Schizosaccharomyces pombe: one gene and its partners. Changing the gene in region 2 together with the main gene of any one other region gives a genetic interaction. Each region holds a gene or a part of one and is shown on either strand. Other genes may lie near its edges.

Region 1 (3,263 bases), on a different chromosome or scaffold from region 2:
CTTAGAAAATCGAAGTGAACTAAGCGCCAGTCCAGGTTCAGTATCCTCCTCCAGACATTCTGGAATTTTTGCGACACCAACGTTTCTGTCACCATGGAATATTAAAAACATACCTCTTGTTACCCCTGAAGTTTCAACACGTCAAACGAAAAATGTTGATGAAGAGGATTCAGCTTTATTGATGGCTAGCCCTTCTGTCCGGAAGTCCAATTTACTTCCTCAGGAGGACCTCATTTCAAAGGATTCTGTGATTAAATTAAAAGAAAACCCTTCTGTTATTCCTCATTCCGAGCCTGAATCATCGTCGAAAGTTATCAACTGCCAGGCTAAATTAAATGTGGAAAAAGAAAAGAAAAACCCGTGAAAACTTTATCAGAGTAATATTGACGCTATTCAATACACAACTATTCTAAATTTCACTTCCCATGGGAAATCCTTGAAATGGTGTTTGATCCCCAGTAAATTTGAATACATAGATTTCTCTAATGTTATATGCACCTTTTTAGACGACCAAAACATTCAAATTACTTCATCTTTTTATGATTGAATACTTTATGTGAGAGTACTTATACATATGATATGACAATAACCTTCATTTGTCGCTATTTGGAATAATAACGAAAGTTGTGAATTCAAGGGATTCCGGATATATCGTCTTTGGAATGTAAGTACTTTGCGAAATTGAAAATATCGGCCTCTTGGTTTATGGTAAAAGAATCGTTTTCTTTTTCATTCAATTGACTTGCATCAATGCGATTAGAAGCATCTGTTAGTGAAAGAGGTTTCCTATATCCTAATATATCTTCACTGATGGGTAGTGTTCTTCCTAAATCGAAGGTGTAGGCTTGACTTGCAGGATTTAAAGAAGAATTCATAATATCTTTGTCGGTTGAAAACAAAAAAAGGCTAGCCAATATTGGGTTTTTCTGAGTGAAATTTAATAACTCCTGATACTCATTGGCGAAGGGTAGAAAAGGCTGCAAATGACAAACGCATTTTAAATTACTCTTAAGTTGTTGTTTTATGGCTCTGCATTTTTTGCTGAATTTCAAGTTAATATTTTTTTTCTGATCAATGTGACATACCATAGTAACGGCCTTCCTCTAGTTCGAACTTCTATCAGTGCCCTTTCTTGATGCTGGCAGGATGAGCCTCGATGACCTCGAAGGCATACAACACTAGAGTAAGTGTTAAAAATTTTATCTTATAACCATACAAAAAGTCTTACCAAGCATAATTCTTACCGTCAATAATGATCATGATTGAAGGTATTTGTGATTAAGGGAAAAGAAGACAAGTAGGATTCGAGTAAATAAGCTAGTCGAGGAACGTTTTAAATAAATTCCTCTTATACGTTCTCTTCCTTTAGGTTGATAAATTGTAAATGACAGCTTTTTCCCAAATTCCTTTTTCCTCGTCTCTGCTTTAGCTTTCTGATCCAGAAGAATTGCACAACGGATATTAATAGAAGACAAGACGAACAGCTAAGTGTTTTAAAATAATATACTTTACTTTTAAATATTTCCAATGTTTGTTGTTTGTCAAAAGTTTGAGTGCTGGCATAAATTATTTATAAGCTCTAGCTATGGACATTTGTTTACATATTATGGGATAAACAAATACATCAACTTATTGACACTAACCAACAATAACATACAAAATAGGAAGGTATTAAATCACTATGTTCAATGTTTTTGAGCACAATTTCGTAGAAAAGATAATTTTGATTTAATGAGTGTGCAAACTGATCAAATTGTGATTTTTCCTCGAGGCGATTTCATTCTATGTTTTTATGATTGCGTCAATTCTCTAAGCAGTTTTGCGATTTTCTGCACTCTAAACTTGTTAAATAACTTTTGTTTGCAAAAGGTACCAGATGCTATAAAGACTGGATTTTGTTAATATACTACTTTATATTATAACATATATGATTTTCAGATTACAAAACAGCTTAAAAGTTTGCAACCTAAAGACATAATAACTTTTTTATTGATTGCTCATTTATTTTAATTGATTATTATTTTTCAGGGTTATATCGAGTTACTTTGTTTTAATGTCAGGTTTAAAAAAATAATTAAATGAAAGTAAATGTAAAATGAGGTAGGCTTGTCAGACCCTTCAAATTTTTTTAAAAAAAATTGAAATATTTCTTTCAGAAAGGTATGATTAAACTCACAATTTTTTTCGATTTCAAAAAATCTTTTAATCAATTTGAATATTTGCTACCTACAAATATTGTCACATAATAGAAATGTAGACGAAGTGATTTCATCAAATTAAGGAACGTTCAGTATTTTAAAAAAAGATATGTAAATTCTACAATTTGTGACGATTTGGAGATGCTACTATTTGAAATGTAAATGTATTTACATAAATGTATATTTGCTGCTAGATGCTGATATACTGGGTATAATGAACATAATTACAGCACAGTACTTAGATGCATTTAGCGCACTATGAATAAATCAGTAAATATTGAATACCTGTCAATTTTCTGGAGATAAAACTAACTAGCTAAACTAAAATCATATAATGGAGCTTCTAAAATCAAGTACGTTGCTGAAATCGAACACATCAATACGTGCGGTTCTTTACTCAAATTCACTTGACATTCTATTTCATGTTTTTCAGAATGCGAAAGATGATAATGTCTTTCTGATCAGATTGCTACAAGATGAGACTACTAAAAGTATTGAAATTTAGAAAACCTTATAAAAACAATAACTACCTTGCACACACATTTTCTTAATTTGATGAGAATAAAACTGCTAACCCCAACGGTCGTTATTTATCGTCTGGGTATCCGTAAATCTCTGTATACCTGTTCAAAGATATACAACGTCACATCTGTCAACTACATTCCATTATGTTGTTAAATCCCTTCAAATGTAAGCTACGCAGTTTGGTATCTGATTTAAGGATACGTAGAACTGCGGTGAGTTTTCCTTGTGATCTATTATATTACAATACACAGGTTGTATAAGTAGCAACTGAGTATAGGTATTGTATTAACTGAGTTATAATGTTACCTATCACTAATATAGCTTATAACTGAACTGAGGAACGAGGTTCAGCAGTAGCTCTATTTATATTATTCAGATAATATAGATCTTGATAGATTATCATTAAGATCAATCTCAATATCGTATCATACATGGTACTATATATAATTAGAACATGTGACATATAGTGATACGCAACGTAGTGTATTATAGCGTAGTGTAGTATTGCTGACATCAAACAATTCTTTAATTACAGTAAGA
Region 2 (3,844 bases):
AGTTCACTTAAGACTACTGTTAACCAACTATAAGCTAACAAAATAAGCTTGAGTACAGTAATATATGTTTAGATTACCTCACTACGGTAGTATCATAAAGTTATTTAAGAATCATTAGATGAATTCTACCATATGTTGCATCGCTATTTTTATTAACAAACACGTAGACTACACGATCTAGGGAACTAAGAAAGTTGATTTTGTACGTTAAAAGAAGAGAAAAACATGAGGGAATTGTAACATTTTTTAGGAATGGGACATTTAACTTTTAAAAAGCTGTAATCTTTTACTAGAACTCTTTTGAAATGTATATTTTTTGGGTTTCTATAGAAAAGCTGAGTAACAGAAATCGTTTGTAATGCTATTATATCATAAATTCTAGCTTGAAGATTTATAAAAAATGTTTAAAGCAAAAGCAATAGACGTAATAATCACTTTCCTAGAGAGGGAGAGACTCACTTTTCTAAAATTTTTCTTGGTTAATACCTTGTTTGGAGCTGCGCTCCAGCTATTCAATGGTTTTAAACATGTGATTACTTATTCTTAGATGCCGCTACAAACAAGAACAGCAGTTATCGATTTTGAAGCAATAATATTAAAAGCGATATAAACAATATAGAGCCCTTTTCCTAAGTATAATATAAATGTTAAAAGACATGGCTTAAACAATACCTTTCCATCCAATGTAACTAACGATAAGGTTGCAAGCAAATACCATAAAAGTGCAATCTATGTATGCGAAATTGTTAGATAAGTATTATGATTGAAGGGAAATAAATTTAAGCCACAGGGAAAAAGGAGCAAGAATAGCATAAAGGACTAAAATCAAGGAATGGGACCATGCTCAATTCATCAGTTTATTCACCAAAATCTGACATTTAGGAAATGTCAACAAGTGAACGTAGCAAAGCTTGTTCTGAAGCAAAAGGGTAAAAATATTTGAGAAGTGTAATATAGAAAAAATAGGATATACAAGTTTCGAGTACAAATGAAGTTAAGAGGTATTACATTCAGTAAGAAGACTTGATGAACGGACGAGAAACGCAAAGAAAAAAAAAGATCGAAAACCTCTAGCGCATTGAAAGCAATGGATTGGGACTACGAGCTTTAGACGGTTGCTTATGAGAAGAGTGCACGCTTGGTGGGGGGTTTTGCCCGGATGCGGCATGCAATTGGGCAAAATAAGAGGAAGAATTAGTCGACTGTAAATAAAATGTTAGTAAATACTTTAAATAAAACGAGTTGGTTCAAAATATCTCAAGTTCCTATACACTAACCTTCTTAGACTTTTTGACCGTAATAGTTTGTGAAGGTTTCACCAATTCAATGCTTAATTCTTGTAGAGGACGACGTTGTAGAGGGCGTTGAACTCTATAAAGAGCATTGGACGAATCCATATGGGCCTTCTCCATGTTTGGAGGCTCATTTTCCTTGTTGTCGGTGTTTACCATGTTTTCAAATAAAGGGAGAACAGGGAGTTTTCCGGGGAAATATTTACTGTAAATATATATTAATTATTTTGTAATAATTCTTAATATGTATCCAATAAGTAATGCAATGTTTGAAAAGAAGCAAGTCGGAGTAAATATAGATATGATATACGGAAATTACAGAACAGTGTGCCTCAGTGTGAGAAACTTGTTGATGTAAACAAACTTTTGGTAATCATACCTCTTCTAAAGTCGGAATGTTTACCTCAGAGGCGTTTGTTTACAGTAGTGGGAGTGGGGAATGTTATGGGGTCATATAATAGGTAGAAGTGAAATAACTACTTGCAAACATATACTGGAATTGGCAACTCAGTAAACATGCATTGACAATTGAGAATTTTGAAATTTCTATTTGTTTATATAATCTATGAGTGAAGTCTTTAATTTAATTATACAAAATCGTACATTCAGACTGTTGAACTTTACCATTACATTAGATTGGTTAGATCCAAAGCATACAAAACAATGGATTAAATTGTTTAAACGGAAAATGATTGAAAAGCTTCAGTCTTTTCGCTTTGCAGATAAATTGATAAGGACGACGAATATACAACAATAGACTTCTTCTACTTTTCTTCCTTGTAACATTTGAAAAAAACAAATAAAAAATAAAAGAATTATGGATTATTAATTAAACATTAATTAAACTATCATGAGAATAGTAATGGCATGAAAGTAGCCTTCGTACATGATTTGTTTTTGGGAACAATGGGAGAAGGTATCTCAACAACAGTAATGATGAATGTAAAAGGAGAAAATGTACAGAGAAGGGAGTATGGGGAGAAATTGATGATAAGGATACGGTTAAAACATAAGAAAAGAAGACATTTACAAACGGGAGTGAGGATGTACGAATTTGATGGCCTGACTCGAGTAGTCCAGAAAAAGTTTGACAATGTAAAAGACTAATATGAAAAACATTTTTCAAAAGTCAAAAAATCACCATTTGGGATGATAAATCGATATCTTGTAACGAGAGGGCAACCTAGTTGTTTTCACCTAAACTTTTTTTGAAGAAACAAATAACTTAATGAAAACAATAAAAACACAATGAAGAAAAAGGACCATAACAGTGGTCATTTTCTTACTTGTCATCAGCCATCATACGTCTGCGGTTAGCCTCTTCAGGACCCAGTCCTTCCAAACTCCATGGGAAGATGGCACGAGGAACAGTGAAGAAGGAGTTCTCTATAGTAGCCAAACCTGCCATAGCATTGTACCATGCTGCACAAGCAGAGAAGATACCAAATGCACCACCAACTCGAATGAGAACAACGTTAGGAGAGCCGTCAGAAGTTCTTAAAAATGCGCATGCCAATAGCAAAAAGCAAACGTCCAGAGACATGAAGAGAGAAAAGAATGCTAGGGTGGAGCGAACTGTACATAGCAAAACCAAAAAGGTAAAGATAAACCAACATATCAAGTAAAGACCGATAGCATAATTAAAGTCATTAGGATCGTCATAAGAATTTTGAATGTTAAACCAGGGAATAAAAATAGAAGCATAACTTAACCAAAAGCAGCCATAGCTACCAAAAACAGCACCACCAAACGTATTTCCCGAAGCCATTTCCCACATTGAAGCGAGAAGTTGAGCTAAACCACCGTAAAAAGCAGCGGGAGCAGTAACCATATTGGAAACCTTGACATGACCAGCATTGACATTGAAAAGGGAAAGTAGAAACGTAGTGAAAGCAAACGCACTGAGGCCGAAAGGGGCAGGATTACCATAATTGATATAACGAAGACGATGAATATTAGGCTCGAAATCAGCACCAGACGGACCAAACAATCTTTTTTGTTGTTCTTGCAATTCAGCGACTTGGTTGGCTAAACGCTCGGTTTGGTCATAGATGGGTTCGGCACGAAAACCGTAAAAGTGATTGCGGTTGCGAGCTTCAATATCTTTAGAGTCATGATCGTTATCGACGAATTTCAAACCGGACTCCAAATCGCCATTTTTGCTGCGAGAATTTGAACGAGAGGGATTACTAGACATGACGGAAATAAGAACGACAGTAACTTGATTGGGTGGATAAAAGATAAAAAAAAGTAAAAAAAAAAATTGGAGTACAGTTAGTAGTGCTACCTTTGGACGGGACAGATTTCTGAGCTGAGGTGGGAAAACAATGTCTACAAAAACTGACGAGAAAAAGCAGTGATTTTATGTAGGAAAAAAAAGGAGAAATAAGTTGAAAATGCGCTTTAAGAAAAAAATTTTTTCTACAAAGTTATTTTCGTAAAGGGGGTTGAAATAGGCAATTTATACGAGGAGAAGCGTTGAACCTATTTGAGTGATGTCAGGTATTTTAGGAATGCAAAAAAAAAAAATTTGCAGACGAAAAATAGTGTAT
Region 3 (4,435 bases), on a different chromosome or scaffold from region 2:
AAGGATAGTGTCAATGCTTCTAATACCCATCGTTCCTCCGGCCCATTAGAGGTAATCGTAGAAGGTCCGGTTTGGGATTCAAAGTTTCTTCCTGACTTTAATTGCTTATCTTTAATTGAACCCATTAGTTCATTTTCAGCATCTACATATCTCCAAATTGATCCTAAAGAGGATTTATGGGCTTCTCAAGATACTGCTCCAGCGTCTAGTGGAATGACAATTGGACCTACCAGTTCACTTTCTGATGATTTACAAGTAAGGTTTCCTTCTGAAGATATACCCAAATTTATAGAATATGTCCGTAACTCTCATGACAACAAAGTATTCCTGATCGAGAATTTGAGGCACATGTTTCCTTACGTAACCAAAAATATTATCAGCGAAACTCTTGGAAAAGTCGCTGTGCGTAAAGGAAAATCAGTATCTGATGGTTGGATAATCAAGGAGAATTTTGCATCCCTTTTATCCTCTTAATTCACAGTGTGCAATTATCTTGAACACTCAAGGACTATTTATACCTCTCTCTTTTTATACGATTAAGCAAATATGTATAATATCATTCATTAATACTGTAGTGGTTTGACCTTTGTTATATAACCTGATAATAAATAAAAGAAAAAACATAGAAAGAAAGCTTTGGCCCTTAATTGTAAGCTTTGTCTAACAGGTTTTATGTTGGTTTAAGTTTGAGTATGTGATAAGTGTTTGAAAAGATTTCGATATTAGAGTTTGATGTTCAAGTAAATGCTGGAAAGATGTTTAAATTTAATTAGCAGCAGAAGTAGCGGGATGGGCATGATATGGCGTAGTACTTCTGCTGTTTTCATAGTTTGAGGGATAAACGGAATAAGAGGGATACATACTTTGCCAACCGTAAGTATCATAAGTGGGTGAATGTTGATAGACTGTGTTCGACTCCAATGGCACATACATTCCAACTTTAGAGGGCATAGAGTTATTTGCGAACTCCTCAACTTTGGAAAAAGCATTATTAGCTGTCATTCCCTTAGTTAAAACACTGTATTCACGAGCACGCCATAATCTTCTTTTCTGAGTCTGACCTTTAAACTTCTTCTGATCAGTGGAATCAGCAAAACGGATTTGTAATGGGGGTAAAGCAGGATCCAAGACAAAGTTATTAAATTTATTAATTATGTCTTCAGCCGTTTTACGATCTTGCATACGAGCAAACCCAACACCTCGAGATTGTTCCTTAGAGTCACGAAGTACGCGGTTTGATATGATTTTGCTGGGTTTAAACAATGTGGAAATATCACTTTCATTCCAATGAAGAGGAAGATTAGAAATATACAGATTGGTGCTTTCTGTGTCTTGTAGACTTTGAAGACGTGCACTGAAACTTTCTTTTGCAAATGAACACTGATATCCACATAAAGTCATGGCTGAAATGCAAATCAATGCAGATTTCTCTTCTTCAAAGCATGCAAACCCATATCCTTTACATAAATTCGTTTCCATATCAATTATTGCTTTGCTGCTACTAACTTTACCAAAACGATTGGTGTAAAGCAACAAATTTTCATCCGAAGTGTTGGGAGGTAAACCACGAATGTAAACATTCCGAGTACGAGAAGTGCTTTCCATGTTACTTTTTTTATTATCATGAGACATGGGAAACATGCTGGGAATGGCAGGAGGAATTGCAGGATGCAATCCAACCAGTTGAGAAAGGTAATTTGTATTCTCCTTTGTTGTACCGACACTCATTTCTTGATTAATGGCAGCGGGAATATTTTTTTGCCCTTGGGAAAAAGAAGGCATCGAGAGAGAAACTGAATTCGTAGGCACAGTCGCTGAAGGAACTGGCGCGAGATATGTTGGTTGATTGACAATATGAAGTCCCGGCTGATTTAAAGAGGGCATTTGAGGATATACTAAAAGACGAAAAGTTTGGTAAGTATTAGTTTTTTCATAAGCTGTGTATCATACCATTCTGAACATATGGTTTTAAATACTGATGAGTATTGTTAACATGATAAGGGTGAACAGACTGATGAGTCTGCCATTGTGAACCATAGCAAGGAGCTACAGAATTGAATGCAGGACGGAATCCAGAGACACCCGGTCGATTGTTGGAAATGGCTTGTGACTGTGCATAGTATGACGGATAATAAGAGTTGGCATAGTAGGCGTTTTGTTGTGGCAGTGTTCCATTATTAATATTGTTATTTGCATATGAAATAGGATCGGTTGTCATAACGGTTGATTGATCAGCAGCACGCCTATTTAAATACGCGGCCTGTGCTGCTGTAGAATAAGTATTGTTTTTTATACTATATTCCTAGTTAGTATTACATTACACATCTGTAATAGCCCTTTACCTGTTTGGCTTCTTGGAAAGCCCTAACTCGCTAGAACCAGGCGTTGCGTTTGGGCTTGTTCCTGGTGTTAATAGTATAATTGTAGAGTCCAATCCTTCACTTTTTTTCGTGTCATTGACATCCACAGTTGTTTGACTTGTTGGAGTAGACAATTCGGTAGTGGATAATGGATCACGAGAAGGAGAAGACATTAATTGTTTTTGTTTTTGAGGCGTAATTATTCCATTCATCGCTCTTATATGCTTTAAGTAAATAATTTTTAAATTATGTATACTTTAATGTTTGAATATATGTTAAAGGTAAGTTTTTGAGCGCGCGAAATCTGTTAATAAACAAATCAAGGATAGCATTGTGTTGCATTAGATTTGATAACGTAGAAAAAAAATACACTTAAAGGCTCAGTTTTATTATACAGTTAGGATACATGTATTAATTATGCTTGTACTTTTGGAAACTTAACTTTTCCGCATATTACTCAATGTTTTGCGTTGACAAGTACACATTGACCGAGGATTTAACTTATAGCATCCTGTACTCTAACTTGATGCGTGTATTTTTAAAGCAAAAAAAGAATTATCAAATACTTTCTATTGTATGTAAATTGATCAAACATTCGCAATCGCCTTAATTATTGAAGTGCAATGAAGTCGACTGCCAGTGTTTACTTTGTTACCCAGCTTTAAGTCGGTTTAGGTTTTTCAATCATGACAAACACAGCACTTTGTGTAGATTCGCATTTTCGGTAGACATTTTTGAGCAGTAAGAAATTCAAGTTGGCAGTTTATTTTTGATATTATAACGTTACAGAGTACTGTTCGTTAGTTGCTACAAAAACTATGTTTTCTATAGATAAAAATACCGAGTGGAATAATGATTGTATTAAACTATTTCTAAGATGAAAAGGCATCATTAAGTCTTGAAGTAATCGCAAAGTCTGGATAAATTCCAAACTTACCAGGTATCTTCAAAAAATCTATTGTCATCTCGAAGAGCTTTAACGGCTTTCATACCGTCAACATCAACAGTGGTCAGAATAGAAGCCAATGCATTCACAACATCTTTAGCCATATGATCAGCATCACCGCAGATATAAAAAGCAGCCCCTTCTTCTACAAGTTTAGCAATGGTATCACTGTGCTCTAAAAGACGGTGCTGAACATAGATTTTATGATCTTGCTCACGGGAAAATGCGGTAATCAGTTCAAAAGAGTCTTTCAAGACATCTTTGTATTGTTGCCATTCTTCCTTATATAAAAAATCCTTGTCAGAATATTGGCAACCATAAAATAAAAGTGTTTTTGCTACTTTAACTCCTTTAGAAGCTAAATTAGCCCGTTCCATCACAAAACCGCGGAATGGGGCTACACCAGTACCCGGGCCTACCATTATTATGGGGACATCGGGAGGAGCCAATCGAAAAGTAGATTTCTTTACAAACATCGGAATTTTTCCGGTCCAGTTTTTACGAGGACCCTCAAGGGTATATTCCAAACCATTTGGATGTGGAATTTTTTCACCGTGCATATGACGACAATGTGCCAACAAATAATTAGTAGTTAGTCCATAAAAGATATGATTCTTATCAGTCCATTCTTTCTTGTCAACTACCGCTGTAACGTGAACTTTGTCAGGATGCACTACACTGCTCGAGGAAATCGAATAGTAACGCGGTTTCATGTGTGCCATATTTTCCAATAGCATTGAGAATGGAAGTTTTGTAAATGGAGCGTCAGGAGAAACACGACGAAGGACTTGAGCAAGGTTTAGGTGCAAGTCTACAACGTTCTTCTTAAAGTAGTCATAATCGTTGCCTAATTTCTCGAGTTCTTGCTTAGATTCTGGTGTAGGAGCGAAAGGAGCAATAAAAGAAAGCAGTTGCCTGGAGACGATACCACATATTTCATAGTAGTAGCGAAAAACAGTGTCATAGGTAGTAGGACTTAAAACAGGAGCCTTATCGAGAGTATCGATAGGTTTAACAATTATTACAGTATCCCTCTTCTCTTTGAGACCGAGAACTTCGAGAAGATCATCAACAGCTTGACTAGGATTCATAGGACAAATAGAAGCGTAATCACCTGTTTGATATCGCA

Evidence for each region.
Region 1: of mes1 (region 2) and cuf2, changing one suppresses a phenotype caused by changing the other (phenotypic suppression), as found in Schizosaccharomyces pombe (one study listed by BioGRID).
Region 3: of mes1 (region 2) and spo5, changing one suppresses a phenotype caused by changing the other (phenotypic suppression), as found in Schizosaccharomyces pombe (one study listed by BioGRID).

What each region holds. Positions count from the first base shown.
Region 1 is NC_003421.2:1,530,123-1,533,385, reverse strand, and holds cuf2 (Cu metalloregulatory transcription factor Cuf2), read right to left. Parts: upstream 1,261-3,263; coding exon 1,229-1,260; exon of another isoform or gene 1,179-1,228; coding exon 1,086-1,178; exon of another isoform or gene 1,042-1,085; coding exon 633-1,041; downstream 1-632. Other genes in the region: SPOM_SPCC584.03C (GTPase regulator), read left to right, coding at 1-364.
Region 2 is NC_003424.3:1,496,792-1,500,635, reverse strand, and holds mes1 (protein Mes1), read right to left. Parts: upstream 1,739-3,844; 5' UTR 1,452-1,738; coding exon 1,278-1,451; exon of another isoform or gene 1,203-1,277; coding exon 1,071-1,202; 3' UTR 552-1,070; downstream 1-551. Other genes in the region: mug86 (acetate transmembrane transporter), read right to left, coding at 2,575-3,489. UniProt on the Schizosaccharomyces pombe protein: Specifically required for meiosis II (MII). Binds to slp1, an activator of the anapahase promoting complex/cyclcosome (APC/C), and counteracts its function in promoting proteolysis of cdc13.
Region 3 is NC_003423.3:2,534,358-2,538,792, reverse strand, and holds spo5 (meiotic RNA-binding protein 1), read right to left. Parts: upstream 2,644-4,435; 5' UTR 2,573-2,643; coding exon 2,343-2,572; intron 2,295-2,342; coding exon 1,951-2,294; intron 1,896-1,950; coding exon 766-1,895; 3' UTR 539-765; downstream 1-538. Other genes in the region: histone H3-H4 chaperone, CAF assembly factor (CAF-1) complex subunit A Pcf1, read left to right, coding at 1-474; ccr1 (NADPH-cytochrome p450 reductase), read right to left, coding at 3,294-4,435. UniProt on the Schizosaccharomyces pombe protein: RNA-binding protein which plays a role in sporulation. Regulates the progression of meiosis I and may function in the vicinity of the Mei2 dot.